Caenorhabditis elegans: one gene and its partner. The protein of the gene in region 1 interacts with the protein of each later gene in a pairwise test. Each region holds a gene or a part of one and is shown in the gene's direction. Other genes may lie near its edges.

What was found. Proteins that work in one complex are often made in the same cells at the same time.
Region 2: the proteins of lntl-1 (region 1) and slfl-5 interact in a two-hybrid assay, tested with the Caenorhabditis elegans proteins (2 studies listed by BioGRID).

What each region holds. Positions count from the first base shown.
Region 1 is NC_003282.8:5,799,978-5,810,569, reverse strand, and holds lntl-1 (LIN-24 (Twenty-four) Like), read left to right. Parts: upstream 1-3,476; 5' UTR 3,477-3,597; coding exon 3,598-3,604; intron 3,605-3,783; exon of another isoform or gene 3,784-3,805; intron 3,806-4,170; exon of another isoform or gene 4,171-4,191; intron 4,192-4,499; exon of another isoform or gene 4,500-4,520; intron 4,521-4,600; exon of another isoform or gene 4,601-4,621; intron 4,622-5,088; coding exon 5,089-5,189; intron 5,190-5,962; exon of another isoform or gene 5,963-5,984; intron 5,985-6,497; coding exon 6,498-6,614; intron 6,615-6,869; exon of another isoform or gene 6,870-6,890; intron 6,891-6,964; exon of another isoform or gene 6,965-6,985; intron 6,986-7,335; exon of another isoform or gene 7,336-7,478; intron 7,479-7,739; exon of another isoform or gene 7,740-7,764; intron 7,765-7,851; coding exon 7,852-7,938; intron 7,939-8,198; exon of another isoform or gene 8,199-8,222; intron 8,223-8,242; coding exon 8,243-8,569; intron 8,570-9,106; exon of another isoform or gene 9,107-9,127; intron 9,128-9,185; coding exon 9,186-9,240; exon of another isoform or gene 9,241-9,559; coding exon 9,560-9,672; intron 9,673-9,677; exon of another isoform or gene 9,678-9,698; intron 9,699-9,799; and 5 more. Other genes in the region: C31H1.1 (DUF148 domain-containing protein), read right to left, coding at 10,413-10,493, 10,538-10,592.
Region 2 is NC_003283.11:12,240,171-12,246,771, reverse strand, and holds slfl-5 (Tr-type G domain-containing protein), read left to right. Parts: upstream 1-1,727; 5' UTR 1,728-1,741; coding exon of another isoform or gene 1,742-1,771; 5' UTR 1,772-1,823; coding exon 1,824-1,885; intron 1,886-2,063; coding exon 2,064-2,463; intron 2,464-2,511; coding exon 2,512-2,742; intron 2,743-3,235; coding exon 3,236-3,991; intron 3,992-4,056; coding exon 4,057-4,171; intron 4,172-4,239; coding exon 4,240-4,442; 3' UTR 4,443-4,801; downstream 4,802-6,601. Other genes in the region: rad-50 (Zinc-hook domain-containing protein), read right to left, coding at 1-83, 139-187, 1,116-1,126; ttr-22 (Transthyretin-like family protein), read right to left, coding at 4,860-5,125, 5,174-5,342.

The sequences.
Region 1 (10,592 bases):
ATTTTTGGTGGATTTCCAAATTAGAACCCTTATGAATTACATTAGGCTGAAACAAATTAACGAAAACAGCGCTGAAAATTGTGTTCTGGACCTTTGTTTTGGAAAATTTTCTTGAAATTTTTTTACTGTTTCACATACTTTTAACAAACAATGTGGGTATTTTTCAAACATTGATGTTCACATTTTTGCCTTTTTATTTCAAAATAATTGCAATCAAATTCAATTCAAAACGTTTTTAAACGATTATACATGTGTTCTGAAAAGTCATGATTTCAAATAAAAATATTTTCAACAGATTCCAGCAATGGATGGATACATTTTTAATGCTTGAATTGCAGTGGTTTATTGCATTTATAATGAACTTTTTCAATATACATTGCACACTATTTTAAACGTCCCCTTTTGAAAAACCTTAAGAACTGCAGTAGATTAACCTTCGTATCTATTCAATCCCTTTTCCAATTTTTCATCCAAAACTCTCAAATCTCTTCATCTTCTTCTTCTGATGCCCCATTCTTCATAATCCGCTAATTGACGTATCCTTTCCATTCCCTCCTCTTCTCTTACTAAATCCTAAAATTGTCTCTAATTTGTTGATCACTTCTTCTTCTTCTTCACCTTTTCCCCATGGGAGATTTCCCTTCCAAAAGCTTTTTCCTCTCCAGCATGAGCATAAATGTTATAATTGGCTCAATTGCTCTTTGGAGAGAAAGTAGATTTATGAGCCAACACAAATAAACGGAGCTTGACAGGTTTTCGACAAGCAGGTAGAAATGAGGACAGAGTGGGAATGAGGGGAGAACAGAAACATATATAGAATGTATTATTTCACACCGCATTCTATTACGCGTTCCCTTCTTTGGTTGTGAAGGAGAAAAAGCCGACATGTTTGCTTTGCTCAATTATTATTATTATGATTGTTGCCGGCCGAGTGGTAGAATATATTTGAAATGAAAATTCCCGATATGTGGTCCCTTGTTTGAAGATTTGACATTGACAGGCAGCATTAACATCGGCAGAAAAATTTTACCGTTTCATAAGTTCAGTAAACATGCAAATGATTTGATTCTAACTGATAGGACAGTGGAACGAACGATAAATCTTTTATTTTGGAGTTTAAGCTCTTTGAAAAAAAACGTATACTGAGCATGAAAGTAGCTCTCAATCCTTGAACTGTTATATAAATACTCGGTATTTATTTGGAACAACTTTCAAATATCAAAACGCTTAGGAGTTTTTTGGTTGATTAATAGAATGAAAGTTAAAAAAAAAAAAAACATTCACTTTTTTTGAAAACAGTTTCAGGTTCTTGATAAATTTTGTGGTGGTTTATCATTCTGTTTAGAATTTTAGTTGACTATGGTATATTTATTAAATGTCTGAAACATAACATTTATTCAAAACGTAATTTATAAGTTGTTCCCGATACTGGATCACATATTGAAAATCTAAATTTTTTTTGGTGACGTTGAAATGGAATTTGTTGAAAAATTTTACCGTTTCACTATTTTATCATAAAATTTTTTATGAAAATCTATGAGATTGTTTTACTACTAATAAACATTTTAAAGTTGAAATTTAAAATGACAACTGTTCGATAGAGAATGCGAAAATAATTGACTAAAATTGAAATATTGGTATCTTTCTAAAATATTTCTTAGTAAATTGATAAACGAACGACGTCACTGATTTTTGTATAAAAAACTATTAAATAAAATGTTTCAGGTTTTTGATAAAATTCAGGATGGTTAGGCCAACTATTTTTTCAGTGTTTAACATGACAGTTTTCAGGTTCTTGATATATGCCAATGTCGCTAATCAAATGATTGTCTATGGATGTTGTCAAATGTCAAAAAAAACTTCAAATGAAACTCCAAAGGTGTTCCTGATGTTGGGTCATTTTTTTGTGAGTCTGAAATATCCTGGCGCCACTGAAACAAAAAATTGGTCGAAAAAATTACCGTTTCACTATTTTCATAAATATGTTTAAATTAATTTGGGCCATAATTTTCACTTTTTTCTAGTAGAAATGTTCTTGATATTTTTGATTGAAACCCTTCCAAGACATGATAGGTCACTTTTCAGTAACCATTTAATGAGCTACACACGTTAAGAAATTTTTTTTGAAGAATACGTTTGAAATGTAAATTAAAAAATGGATAACTTTTCGATGCTTTTAGGCATTATTGAAATAAAACGTTGGTTAAAGTTTTTGACCGTTTTATAAATTTCATGAATACGCTTCATTTTTTCAAAGCTTGAATAATCTTTCCACTATTTTTTCACTCTTTTTTTTTGGTTTTTCGTATTTTTGTTTTAAAATTTTCACATTGTTTTGCAAAGTTATCACATATCATGTTTCAGTTTCTTTATAAATTTCAGGGAGGTTCTGAAGATATTACTTTTAACTTTTTTCAGGATTGCGTGTTCGTTGGTGTCCTTGTCCCATTCCATGTTTCCGTCGTTGTGTTCTGACTCATAAATTTCACGGTTTTTTGGGTGTGTGGTGACAGTAAAAAGTGTGAAGGGATAGATTGTAAAAAAAAATTCCTCGCAAATATAGTTTAGAAGGTTTCAGAAAGTTTTCAAAAAAACACATTCAAAAATTCAAATGTTTCATAAAGTGGTTGAATGAACTTTTAAACTATAAAAATTAAAACTCAAACCTTTCCGGAAAGAGCTTAAAATACATCTTGTTCGCCGTGTTCTCCTAATTTTTTCAGGACTTGTGGGACGTAAGACCTATAATATATGAAAACAAAACGACAATTTATAAAAACCAATTTTTGTAATAATTTTTCATTGATAAATAAAAACAATGTAGTATGTCAAAAATCTTACAATTGAACTAAAGATTACGAAAATCGATTTTTCGGTAAAAAACTTTGGCCAAACTCGAATGAAGGAAATTCCCCAAACTATTATTTGCTTACCAATACATATTTTTAAATATATATTAGAAACGTATTAGAAACATATGAAAAGTGTTTACAAGAAATTATCAAACTTGGCATTTGTTTTAATGGTTTTAGTTTAACATCTGAAACAGCAAAAAAAATTCCGAAAATAGTTCGAATTGTTTTTTTTCCGTTCTCAATCGCTGATGGATTCACTTTAGCTAATATTTCAGAAATTATTTTAAATACAAAACGACTTGTTGTTGAGCATTACTCATTATGATTACAAAAATCGAATTATTTTCTCAAAAATTACTTCAATTATATTCTAATTTTGAAACAGTAAAAAAAAATACGAAAATTATATTCACTTAGCTTTTCGAATATTGGTTAAAGTATGTATTAGTAATTCCTCTTTTTTACTATTAATTTTTTAAAAATACATCTCAATCAATTCTACAGGGAAAATAAAAACATCGCCCCCTCGAGCAGCTTGAATCCCTGGAAAAATGAAAATAAGTAAGAGAAGAAGAGGCAAAGAAGTCATCGACGATTGGCTGGCAGGCATACAAAGTAGGCGGAGTCGTCATGTGAAACCCGGCGGAGGGCTTCGATTCACAGAGACTCCTCCTGTTTGTGTGTCCCCCGATTGCCCGTCTGAATCATCGAATTTTTTTTGGAAATCAATTTCGATAAAAAAATGTTTAGTAAGTTTGTTGATTTTAAATTTAAAATTTTTTTTATGTGAATTAAGCGCACAGTGTCTGCATTCATTGAAATTTTAACCAAAAAATGTTTTATTTGGAGCAGAACTTTTTTTAACGTCTCAACTAACCTAAATATATAATACTCAATTGGTGTAATTTTCTTTTATTCAACTGCAGAAACTTTTTACATCAACTACTCAATATGTTAAATAAAACCTACGAGTTTTTATAAACATCATGAAACAGTGGATAGTGTAATCATGAATCATCATTGGAATTTCAAAAAATTGATTTAAAAAGTGATTTGTGTGTCTCTATTCTCTCTCGGCATGAGCTTATAAATTCAATTGTTTGTGAGAGGGCAAACCGAACCGCGTTGCAATTGTACCGTGCCAAATCCCTCGCAATATTTCTTTGCGTCTCTTCTTTCTTATACTCTCTCTCTCTCTCTGTGTCGTTTTCTATCAGAGTACAGTAATCTGATTTATAAACAACGTTAAACAAAAGTGGAAGTGAAGAGGAAGGTTTTGAAGTTTTCAAAATGTTCTTGAAATTTTTCGGCCAGTCGATCCCACACATCGAGATGATTGAATTAATTTCAAAAAATAAAATGATATTCTATGAATGAAACTGTAATTTTTTTTCGAAAAATTTCACATTATGATGTCTTCTAGGAAAGTTGGAAAATTTCACAACAGTATTGCTGGCTTTAACTTTAAAACAAAAAAAACCGTGAAAAAAACTAAACAAACAGTATAGGTTAAAATGAGCAGAGCTTTTCATAAGAAACGCAAAAATTTTTGCTATGATGAGTGATGAAAGTGAGTTGCTTTTTATAATACATTTTCTACAGTTTCAGAAAAAATTCAATTACCATAACAACAATTTTAAATGTTTGGAAACAAATATTTGAAAAACGTTGAAAAAAGTGAGCGGAATTTAAAAAAATTTCTGTTTCACTGAAATTTTATTTCATTTGCTGAGAAAAATATATATTACCGTACTATTTTCAAAAGCTTTAGTAAGAAATATAAGTTCTCCCTTCTCTCAAATAGGAAACTTTCACTTACTTCTTCTTCTTTACCTGAATACCTGCCTAATTGTAGCCTTCACCTTTCTCTCTCTCTCCAGTCCCAGTTCTAATTATTCCGAAATTCTCTCCTTTTCCATGTTTCACATATACATTTCCGATTTTGTTTCCCACGTTTTCATGTGCCTGAATCCTCTGAACTAGAGATTCTGAGACGCAGAGAAAAATAAACGTGGATTACGGTAGTTGAGGGGAGCCAGAGAAGAGCGGCGACGTTTTTCCGTCTTCTCGTGCATTCTAGTGAAATAGCGCTCAAAAAATTTAGACGCAGAATTGCAACGCGCAATTTACTATTGATTCGGTTGAAAAATGAAGAGAGAAGAGAGACTCAGAATATTTTGAAATATGTTTCTGACTCATCTATTCTGAAAACTTAATGATCAATAAATTCCAGGTTGCATATCTCCACAGAAATCACCGGCTTTTAGTCCAGAACAGGAGAAAATGCTGAAATCGAACAGAGCAAATGAGCCACAAAGCTTTGTGAAAGGAAATGTAAGTATTTGAATTTAATTCTTAATTTGAAAATATATATTAAAAATAGCGAAACCTAAAATTTCTTCACAGTTTCAGCGATTTTTTAAGCTTTCATTAATTCATGCATATATTTTTTTCTTTAAGTGAACGGAAGAATACAGCTTGTGCTGAAAATTTGAACACTTGAAATGTGTTATAAATATTGTATCAACACTATTTAATTAAAGTTTATAACTTTGTGAAGATAGTTTTTATTTTTTACGTATACTTTTGTGGGATTCTGTAAACAAGCGAATTTGTGTTATTCGAAATTAATTTACAGTTTCAACATTTTTTCATAAGTTTTGTATTTTTGAGGTGTATATTTTTATCTTTGCAGTTTTAAAAGTTATGTTCTTCAAAATATGAAAAACGTGAAATACCTCAATATTAAAAGGATCATTTAATTAATTATTTTTAACTGATTGAACATGAAATTATTGCTCATCTGAACATAACAATTCAATTTTGATCCGTATTCTTGCAAAAAATATAATCTCTAAGCTGAAATAGTCACCGAATACACAGATTGTTTGATATTTTTCCAAGAGTGTTTGCATTTTTTTCATGAGCCTAGTTATTTTATGAGCACATTTAAAGTTTACGAATTCATTATTTTTTGTTCGCTCGCTTTATCAGCAAAAATATATGCCGCAAAATGTGTAAAAATACATTGACAGAATTTCAAATTTACAACTTTTTTGTACTGTCTCAACAAGTTTTTATCATAATATGATAATCAGTTTCATTGATTCACGGATGCAATTTGTGATAAAATTAATTTTAAACATATATTAAGAGCCCAAAAGCAGTTTGGAATTCGATTTTTAAGGTTTTGAGAAATCGTTCTCTTAAAAAAATCATTCAATTTTTGTTGCAAATAAGAAAAAAAATACTCAAAAAATTTTTTAATCTATTAAACATGAAATATTGTTAATTTGCTAAATTATCAAGTTTTACATTTTTCTACAGTTTCAACATATTTTGATAATAATTTTATTTTTTGTAAGTTTACATTTTGCTCCTTTTTTCGAATTCTCTGCGATTCTAATGAAAGAGCAAAAGTTAAAAATGTTCAGGAATGTTAATTCTGTTAGAAACACCTGTAAGAAATGAACCTTTATAAAAATTAAATGGACTGTTTCATCAAGTTTTGTATACATTTTGATTTCAGAAACTACCGCTTTAACCCATTTGAATTCTTAATTTTCAATTTAATGAAAAGTTTTGAAAAAAAAATTTTATAGCATGTATTGCACCCTATAAAAACAAATTGAGTTTTTCCAGGACGCCGCAAAATCCGACCTGATAGATTTGGAAGAAGTTGTTACCAATTGGGCAAAGACAATGTTTGATGTGACAAAAAGCAAAGCGGAGGGAAAAATCAAGAAGAAATATTTATCGGTGAGCATTTCCATTCATTATGCTCAGTTTGTCACCATCGATCCAATTACGGAAAGAGGAAATTGGCACCTCCGTTAGGAAATTGAGCATGAAAATTGATAGGTTGTGCCTTTGGGAGGTCCCATGTGTGTGTTTAATCCGTTCAAAGTGAAAAGGGGGTAATGAATTGAAGAATGCTCATGCGGGATAAGAGAAATTGAAAAGGGAAAGAGAGAAAGAAAGAATGACAAAAATCACCCAAGGGAACCGACATATGGTTTCATTTATTTGAATACAATGAGGTCCCGCCAAAGTGAATAAATTGATATAGAGAATGGGAAATAGGATGTATTACTAAAATCTGAAGGGAAGAATCTTGTGAAGCAATTTCAACATTTTCCTGGCTGAAGTACAAAGCTGATGAAAACATGTTGAAACAGTAATAATAATTTTTAAAACTTCTTTAATTTTTCTGTATAAACTTATTCTCGTTGTGCTATAAAACTCAAAAAAAAAGTACCCAGCAAAAGGAAATTGTCAGGGTTTTCACCGAATTATCGGCAGTTTTCTACAATTTTTTTTGAACAGTTTTCTAGAACTTAAAGCTGGCTGGAGAGGCGCCAAAAATATTTGTTGTTGATATATATTTTTAATGGTAAAAAATGGACTGTAATGATTGAATATAATTTTGAAAAAAAAAATCAAATTAAAATATTTATGATTGAATAAAAAAATGACAAAAAATCATTTTCAACATGGTTTTAAAACTTCATATTTGTTTTGACTCCAATAACGAGATAAATTAATCTGCAAACTTTTCCTAGCGTTTTCGAAAACGAACAAAAATCAGAATCAACTATTACTCTCATCTTCACCAACTTCTCAAAAACCTCATCATCAACAATGCTCCCAAAGTGTAAATGTAAATGAAGTCGGCACGAAGGTGTCAAAGGCTCAGGGTGTGTGTATAGGAACAACAGTCACACATACCACCCGCTTTCTTGATTTACGAGTTACACACCTTGAGGGTATAGAATTCCTAGCGAGAAAGAATATTTTGAGGGAAATGCGAAACAGTATTTAAAAAATACAACTGGAGTATGTTTCATGGTGGTTTTGAAACGTTTTAACTACAACGAGAGTTACTTAATAAACATCTAGTCTTTGAATCACTTTTCACAATTCTAGTTATAATTTTAAGAAAGTTGTTTTAAAGAACTCGCATGGGCATTTCCGTATAATCCCAACAATTTTTCAGTACAATATCAACTGGACAAAACTGTTTCAAGAATGCTCGGAGCCAACATACACAATCCTTGGAGCAAAGCCGAATGTTGTCGATGCAGTTAGTTATTTTTAAATTAAAAATATTACATTTAAAGTTTTATACTGGAATAGGTTTGGCATATCATTAATTTTTGAATCAAAACTTTTAGAAAAATTTACTGTCGATAAAAATATACAAATTTCAGTATGTGCGTTTCAAAGTTTCCTGAACAAAAAATAACTTCCATATTATTGAGAAATTTGATTTTAAAATTTAAAAAAAAGAAAAATTTTACTGTTTCTAATGAAAAATATTGAAATAGCGGTTATTAGAAATTTTATTCACATCTCTCTCAACCTCAACAAGAATATTCAATTTTCAGAAACAAGATGAGAAAGTGATTTTCAAAACGACATTCACGAATACAACTCAACGCGAGCAAGAATATTCGTTCAAAACGGAACGATGCACTCGCAGCTCTTCAACTGTAATCATCGAAAAGGGAGTTTGCCGTGGAGCAGAAGTTTCACTGAAACTGAAAACTCCTTGTGAAGTTGTGGAAGCAAATGCTGGATTTACTACAGAAGTTATGTTGAATCATATTGGAGAAAATACTTCTGAAGAAGAATTGACATGGGGTGTTGATAGTTGTGTTAAGGTGCCACCAGGTGCAGAAACTGTTGCTGAACTCGTGATTATTGAAGATATTGTAAGTTTTTAAATTGTTTGAATGAGATGGAATCAAATTTAAACCTTCAAACTACTTTTTCAGTAATTAGAAATGTTCTAAAAGGATTTTTAAAAAATTGGTTGCAAAAATTGAATGATGAATCCATTTTCGAGATAGAAAATTTTTATGAAAACTTACATCAGCTGAACAGATTAAATTTTTATATGGAAAGCTCTCATCGATGAATAGTTCCTATTTGAAATTTTCAGCAATGAAAACCTCTTTGATACTGTTTCAATTAGCTCATAGAAAGTAATGATTTTCAAAAGCTTAATTTTTTACAGATATAGAAATTTGAATTGAAAAATAATAAGGCAAGTGAAATTGCAACAAAAAAAAACGGTAATTAGGTATTTTACTGACTAAAATTTAAAGGAATGCAACTGTTTAGAAACTCTAAGTATGTAATGTCTAATGTAAGATTTCTTGAATCAAATTAAAATTCCTACTACATATTCACAATGTTTTGCCGTTTCAAACAGTTAATAAATTATTATGCTTTCCGAGAAGTTTTGATAAGTTTGTGTTAGTCAAGTCACTAAACTTTAAAAAACTTTATACGACCCCATCATCCGTCAAAAACCCTTTTTTCCAGGTAACTCGCGATTTCCGCATCGAAAACCGTCTGAGTGGCAAAGTTTTGGTGACAAGTGAGTTCTTTCCTTTTTCATGCAAATTTAACACATTTTCATTGAATTGGCAAGAGAATGAATGAATAAATTGTCAAGGGTCCTTGACTATTCAACTGTTTCACTTCCACTTCTAGTGCTACACCACTAATAAACGGAAACAACATTTTGAAATTATTCAATGGAAGAAAATATATGAAGGTGTGTAAAAACAGGGAAAAATTAAACTTCCAATTTGAAAAGCTTGAATAGAAAAAAGAACAGAAAAACTATTTCACTACCAGGTAACCAGGCAATATACCCACAAATAATTTCCCTTGTAATCGAATTTAATTTTCAGTAACCAACTTGAAAGAAAACAACAGTTTGGTCACAATTATCGAAGGAAATATCTGTGATATCATCCGAGGAATGCCTGATTACACAGCTAAAGGATTCCGCTTTGATGGACCTGTAAGTATATCGAATCGAATAGCTCACTAAGATTTCAAATTTTTTCGCCTACTTTGTCTACAATATGAAAAAGTATAGAGTTCATTAAAAAAAAACTTTGATACATATGACGGATTGACCAATTTTTTATATCAAAATCTTTAATATATCAAATTCTTTAATTTATATCAAAATCTTTAATAGTAGGTTTGAAACAGCGGATAATTTATTTTGTATTACACAATTTTTAAGTTCTATTATACAATGACAAGTCACTTTTTTTCTTGGAACACCTTTTATTTCCAGGCTGCCATCTACGAGACCCGCGGCCAGTGCATCTTCCGTTTCGGAATTGAGCAAAAAGTCCGAATCAACGAATTTTCACTCAACTCGTCTCGTCGGTACTAACAAGTACTTCTCACTATGAATCAATATAATTTATCTTTTTCCACTGGCTTCTCTGCTTTACTTCTTTTCACAAATCCATTTATTTCCCCTCTGATATAATAATTTCCGGTAATGAAAAATAAGCATTCGATTATTCGATTTATGAAGTTAACTATCATAAACAAGGTTCTATTATACTTATCAACAGTTTGAAACAGTAGATTTTGTAACAAAGCGTTAAAATTGTATTATGTTCTGCGGGTATCATTGTTTGAAACAGATTGCCAAAAAAATGACTCCAACTCTAAAACTTTACTGATACTATAAAAATAAATAAAAATGCATTGAATACAAAAAGTCGAATAGAAAAAAATTTAATGGGCAGGAGACTTTGGTTGAGAAGTGTAAGTCTCTTCAAGACTATATGAGCTGGTGGAGACAGCGGTCATCAGGTCCTGAAATTAATTTATTTGCAAGGATAACTACCGTATTCGCTTACACTAAGAGCAACTCCGCATTTCTGAGCCGAGTTTTGAAGAGCATCAAACAAATGA
Region 2 (6,601 bases), on another chromosome or scaffold:
ATTAGTGTGCACGGAGAGAGGAAATCAATTTTGTGAACATCGTGGTCCTCATCACCGACACTTCGAATTCCTCTGATGTGTAGCTGAAATTTTCATAAATTTAGTATTTTCAGAGTAAAAATAAATTTGCAGACTTACGCGTAAAAATTTCGCCATAAGCAATTCCCAGGCTTCGATAAGCAAATATCTGAAACATTCTCATTTGCAAATAGGTTTATTCAAAGAAAAATGTTGCGAAATTAAATTAATATATTGATTCCGTTGGAAACTCTGGAAAAAGGACTAAGTAAAGTGAAATTCCTGAGTATTTTCAATTAATTCCTGTGTAAAGTGGGCCTTCTGCGTATTTTTAATTAATTTTTGCGTAAAGTTAAACTCTTGCATGAAGTAAAAAAACAGAAAAAAAACAATTTCGAAAACTGACAAAAAAACAGTTTCCGATTCAAAAATAGAGCGCAAAAACAAAATACGATGCTCCGAAGTTCCGCAAGCGCGTGTTGTTTAACCGAAAGAAGATTTCGATTTTTTCTTTTCCCTCTGCTTTTGATTTTGAGCTTCATATTAATTTCTTCATTCTGAAAATCACGAAAACTCGGTAAAAGCTTCCTGTTTATTTTAATTTTTGGCAATCATGAAATTTTTTTTCAAATTCTCACATGGTTAAAAAACATCAGTCAAACGATTGATAAGATATTTTCCGAACAACTGATAAACTCGTATTCTAGAAATCGTACAAACGGTTTTATTGTTGTTTATTTTGAACTGAACGTTTTTGTCTAAGGAAATGCATCATATTGCGTCACATCGAATGTTGTTCTTAAGAGTAAGGAAATATTTCGCAATTTTCTGCAACATTCTTTAACGGCTGTGTTCGGTCATTTTACTTGTATTTAGGGCTACTAACAGCCCCACTTGTATTATTATTATGATTTTACCTTTCGTTCCAGAAGGCTGAAATTTTAGAAATTCTGAGTAAGACTAACTTTTATGTTTTATTCCAATATATTTACTGTTTAAAAGTATCCTCCATTGTCACCTGGTATTTAGAATGATTATTAACCTGTCGAATGCACCTTCAAAGATCTCAATGCCCACCTACGTGTGAAAACACTTACTTCCTTCTCATTTCCGTCCGATCGTAATCAAAAAGAAACAGGTTTTCCTCTCTCTCATCATCTGTCTTCCAAGCTTCAACTTCAACCTTCCTTCAGTATCTTCTTATTCTTCCAGCTGTCCACTGCCAATCAGTAGGTTCATATTCCCGTAAAAAATCGCCATTTTGTCTGGTTTCTTTTGATTTGAACGCTTCTTTTCATCTCATTCCTCTCTTATTCTCTCATGTATTTGCTCAATCATTCAGCATGCTCACTGTGAAGCTTGTGTGTGCATAATTTCTTTTCATAGAATCGAGCGACGTGGAAATCGATATTTCTCACTGTTCCTTTTTTCAATATTGACAAATTTCCAGTTCAAAAGTCAACTTAACTTGTTGTTATGTTCCTCTCCGATTTTTTCTGTCTTATTTTCTTCTTTCGAAAACAACAGCGGCTCCCCTTTCCCACTTTTTTCTCTTCATACGTCAATTCTCTAAGTTCTCATATTTCTCTACAATCTCTACATGTTGACCGAACCAGTTAACAACTGACTTTTCAAAACCTCTCGAAACACGACATTTTTTTCTCAAGTACCCGAACCTCTCTCCCTATGATTAAAATTTGATGTTCCAGAATCGGAGAATCGAATGATAGATCGAATACGGCGTGAGCAGTAGTTATCCAACTGATTATCTCATTTCATAAAATAATAAACAACTCAATCTCACTATGGATTTTATGATTTCACATTTCTGCGATGAGCAGAATCATCAGCCACTTTACAAAACTAGGTGAGTACGATAAATATTGTGTGGTTAACATTTGAAAATTTTATTTCTAAAATCAAAATTCATTTATTTAAATTCCTTATAAAAAATAAATCAATTCTAAAACATTGATATAAAATCAATTCAATTTATTTAATGTCGCCAAATCATTTAAGGTAGTATATTATATTATTTTTTACAGACGACAATCAATATCGGACTCTAAAAATGGACCAACACTTCTCAGCTCTTCACTGCCAACTAACGATGAATGTTCCGACTCCGACACCGAAAACCGATTGCCACCTGAAACGGAGCTTGGAAATATTGAGTACAAAGCAAAATTAGTAAATCCAACGACATCTCGTATACAACATCTGATCACTCAAATGAAATGGCGTCTTCGTGAGGGTCAAGGAGAGGCTATTTATGAAATTGGCGTTGAGGATGGTGGAATAATGTCTGGATTAACAGACGAGGAACTGAATGATTCACTTCGGACCTTGAGAACGATGGCCCAAGCTCTTGGGGCGAGTATGGTTATTTTGACCGAGAAAGACGTTACTGTTAAGGGATCAAATTCACGGAGAACTGTAGTCGAGGTAATTATTATTGAGTCATATTTTATCTAAATGAAATTATTTTTCTAGGTACTTGTCCGAAAGGTTCCTGAAAGCCAGCAATTCATCGAAGTTCGTCTTGCTGTCGTTGGAGGATGCGATGTCGGAAAATCAACACTGTGTGGAGTGTTAACACAGGGTTGTCTGGACGACGGAAACGGAAAAGCAAGAATTGGAATATTCAGATTTCCACACGAAGTGCGAACAGGAAAAACCAGTTCTGTCTGTAATGATGTCATTGGCTTCGATAATCGTGGAAAGGTTAGAAATTTTTCGAAACATTCAGAATGGGTTAAAATATGCTTGAAAATATTTAAAAAAAAAAACAGTAAACTGATTAAATTGTAGATAATTTCTTTATTGAAAATTTTAAAGTTGGATCCTATTTATTAGGGTTTTTGATTTAAATAATTAAAAAAATGGACGGTAATACCGAATATAATTGTTTCAAAAAATCATAAAATTTTTATAATTTTTTCAATTTTGCAAAAATAAAAAAATAAAAATCTGTTTTTGAATTCCCGCCCAATTATCAAAAATAAAAATTTAAAAAGTTAGAAAGATTTTATAACTTTTAAAATCAATTAAAATCGATTATTACGGTCAATTTTTTTTTCATTCAAAACAAAATTTCAAAATGATTCTACTCCACTTTTGAATACAAAAACAATGAATTTAGAAAAATTTTATTTGAAAAACTTAAATTCGATTTTTTTAAATTTATTTATAAATATCTAATTTTTACTTTTTTCAGCTAGTCAATTATGCACAAAATAGTCTCGAAGAAATGGTGGAGAAGTCTTCAAAACTTGTAACACTTATCGATCTGGCTGGAGACGCAAAATATCAGAAAACGACAATTCATGGATTAACCGGATACACTCCTCATTTCGCTTGCCTTGTTGTAGCCGCCGATCGAGGAATCACGTGGGCCACTCGTGAACATCTTGGATTAATTGCCGCTTTAAACATTCCAATGTTTGTACTGATCACAAAAATGGATCTAGTCGATCGACAAGGACTTAAGAAAATCATCAAAGATGTTTCCAATCTTGTTGCGAAAGCAGGGATGACAGCTCGCGAGAAAAGAGTGAAAACTAAAAGAGACGCAGTGAAGGCGGCACAAGAACTCTGCGTTGGTAGTATCGTACCAGTTCTTGCTGTTAGTTCAGTGAGCGGAGAAGGTTTTCGTTGTCTCAGAACACTTCTCAATTGCCTTTCTACAGCTGGAACTGCAGAGTCACGTATTCAACTAGTTGGACTCCCAGCCTTTTTCACAATCGAGGAACTATATAATGTGCCTCATGTTGGACAAGTAGTTGGAGGAATGCTATCTGAAGGACAATTGCATGAAGGAGCAGATGTTCTTGTTGGACCCATGAAAGATGGAACTTTTGAAAAAATTACTGTCGGGTCGATTCGAAGAAGCCGGCAAGCCGTAGGATGTGTTAATCCTGGTGAAGCTGCATCGATATCCTTGAATCTTCCAGACGGTGTCAGTCTAAGAAGGGTAAGTATTTTTTTCCACAGAAAAATCATTCGAAATGTGAAACATATTGATTATTTTCATTAAAGGGAATGGTTCTTGCTGAAATCGATCATCAACCACCAGTTTGTTACGAATTCACTGCCAATCTTTTACTGCTGTGTCACTCGACGAAATACATATGCGAAGGATTTCAAGCCACAGGTGAGTACTTTTTCTCATTTCAACTTTCAGTTTTGATTTTTTCTGAAATAATTTATGAACTTTTTCAGTGTTTATCGGAAGTGTCTGTACAACTGCCATTATTACTCACATCGACGATGCAGACTGCATCCGTCCAGGAAAATGGGCTGTAGTTAAAATGTGTTTCGCCTATCAACCAGAAGTCATTCGTGAAGGATCACCAATTATTCTTCGTCAAGGAAAAACCAAAGGAATGGGAGAAGTATTAAAAGTATTTCCGTGCACCCAATGATAATTGTTAGTCTGAAAATCTCTAAATTTTACTGCCACCCCCCCCCCCCCCTCCCAATTATCTTGTATATTTTGTGTAGACCTCTTTTTTGTAGTCTTTTTTCACTCTCTCTCTCTTTGCCCTCTCCTCCTAGGTACCCGTGTGTTTACATTTTGCTCCGGGTTGATAATAGTTGTACATAGTTGAAATTGTACAATTCTGAATATTTGTTCACTAAGTGAACCTTTTTGTCTCCAAAAATACTCTAGATCCTCTTTTTTCTCTTCTTCCAGGTGCCCCCACTCATTCTATTCATTTTTTGTAGCATTTTTTGCGCTACTGCTTTTTTAGTTACAATTTTAAAAATGAACTGAATTCACTCTTCCTAGATGTCCCATTTCAATTATTCTAGAAACAAATTTATTAGGAAGTACACATTCAATGGATACAATCAGTGGTTTCTCCACTGAACTGATTAGCTAAGTTCAAAGTTCCAATATCATAATTATCAGTCGAGCTACTTCCAGATGCAACTGCATAATCAGGAATATTGATTGTCACTTTCTTTGAACATGGTCCATTGTAATTACAACTATGATATATATTCACTTTTGGATCCAATGTTAAAATATCTGTATATGTTCCAGAAACAGAAAATGTTCCATCAGATGAGGTGGTCGTCGAACCTAATTTCGAGTCATATACTGAAAAAATCAATTGTTTCAAAACAGTTCTTCCAAATAATAACTTACTCGTTCCATCGTCATACATCTTCACGAGAACTCCACTGGCTGGCTGTCCTTCACAAACCAATTTTCCCGTTACAGTAACACTTTGAGTGCTTCCGATAACATTGAGTAAAGCATCGGAGCAATGAATCAAAAAGAAAACAGAAAGAGCAATATATGTAATTGAAAACATTGTGAACACAAAATTCAGAGTGATTCTTGTAAGACATTTATATACTGTCTACAAGAAGTAAATAGAAACACAGTTCGAGTAAATATAGTCGTTACAAATTGTTACTTTGCTCACTGACTCAATAATTGTCACTTAAAATGAAATCATAGATCAACGACAAAGGATATAATTGGTTCTTTTTAGATAATTCTATTGTAAATATCAACTTTGTTCAACGACTAAAAGTCCATTTTAAATTTGGTGAAACGCCAATAGTAAAAACTTTTAAAATCACTATATGATGCTCACAACGGTAGAAATGACTCAGTTTTCACATTTCATAGTTTTGAAGGTTGACCAAAAAACTTTTAACTTGGATTACATTAAATTAATTTGTAATTGATTTGTAGGGTTTCGAACATACAAGAATGCTTAATGTGATAAAGTTTAAACTAACTTTAAGAACATACTGAAAATTACAAAAAGTGTGAAACATGCTAGTGATTAAAAAATAAATATTCAGTATTTTTGGTTCATTTGTATACTTGACGGAACTGACCACATGGTGTCAGAGTGTCCCATATCGGTACAATCTACAAAAAATTCTTAAATTTAGACGCAGACTTCTCAGCAGATTCCGCATGGTTGAGAGCATGTTTATGCTCGAGAAATTCCTGATTTCTCGTAGATCAACCCGTAATGGGACAGCCTGACACCACGTGACTGAATCTACCACACCTTTACACCAAGACTACTACGACAAAATACTATTAAGGAAAATATTTTTTGCTCAATAGTTTCCTGATCTGAAGCTATGTTTTTGACTTTGTCCACTGAATGCAAAATTATATTCTAGAAAATAGTTCAAATTAATTGAAGTGGATCTACGAACCTCTAAACTCTAGAAAAATAGGAAGGAGGAATTTATATCGTAAATTAGTGTATAAGGTAGAAAAAGTTCAGGACTCGAAAAAACATAATATTTTTGAATTGAATCGTAGTTGCAAATCACGTATATATTAGCAGACTATGGAAGAAATTGGGGTTTTATCAAAAAAACAAGATACAATTGAAAGCGATTCTACAAATGGTCCGGAATATAAAGTTATAATGCCCCAAATAAAAATCGAACCATCAATTCTCGATATGCAACGCTTTCATCACAGTTGATCTATAATTCCGTGACATTGAAAAATTGATTAAACAATGTGCAGCCGCATTGAAACAGAAAAATGTATCAACCCAAACATCGCCATACAAGAGAACCATGTGGAGAATTG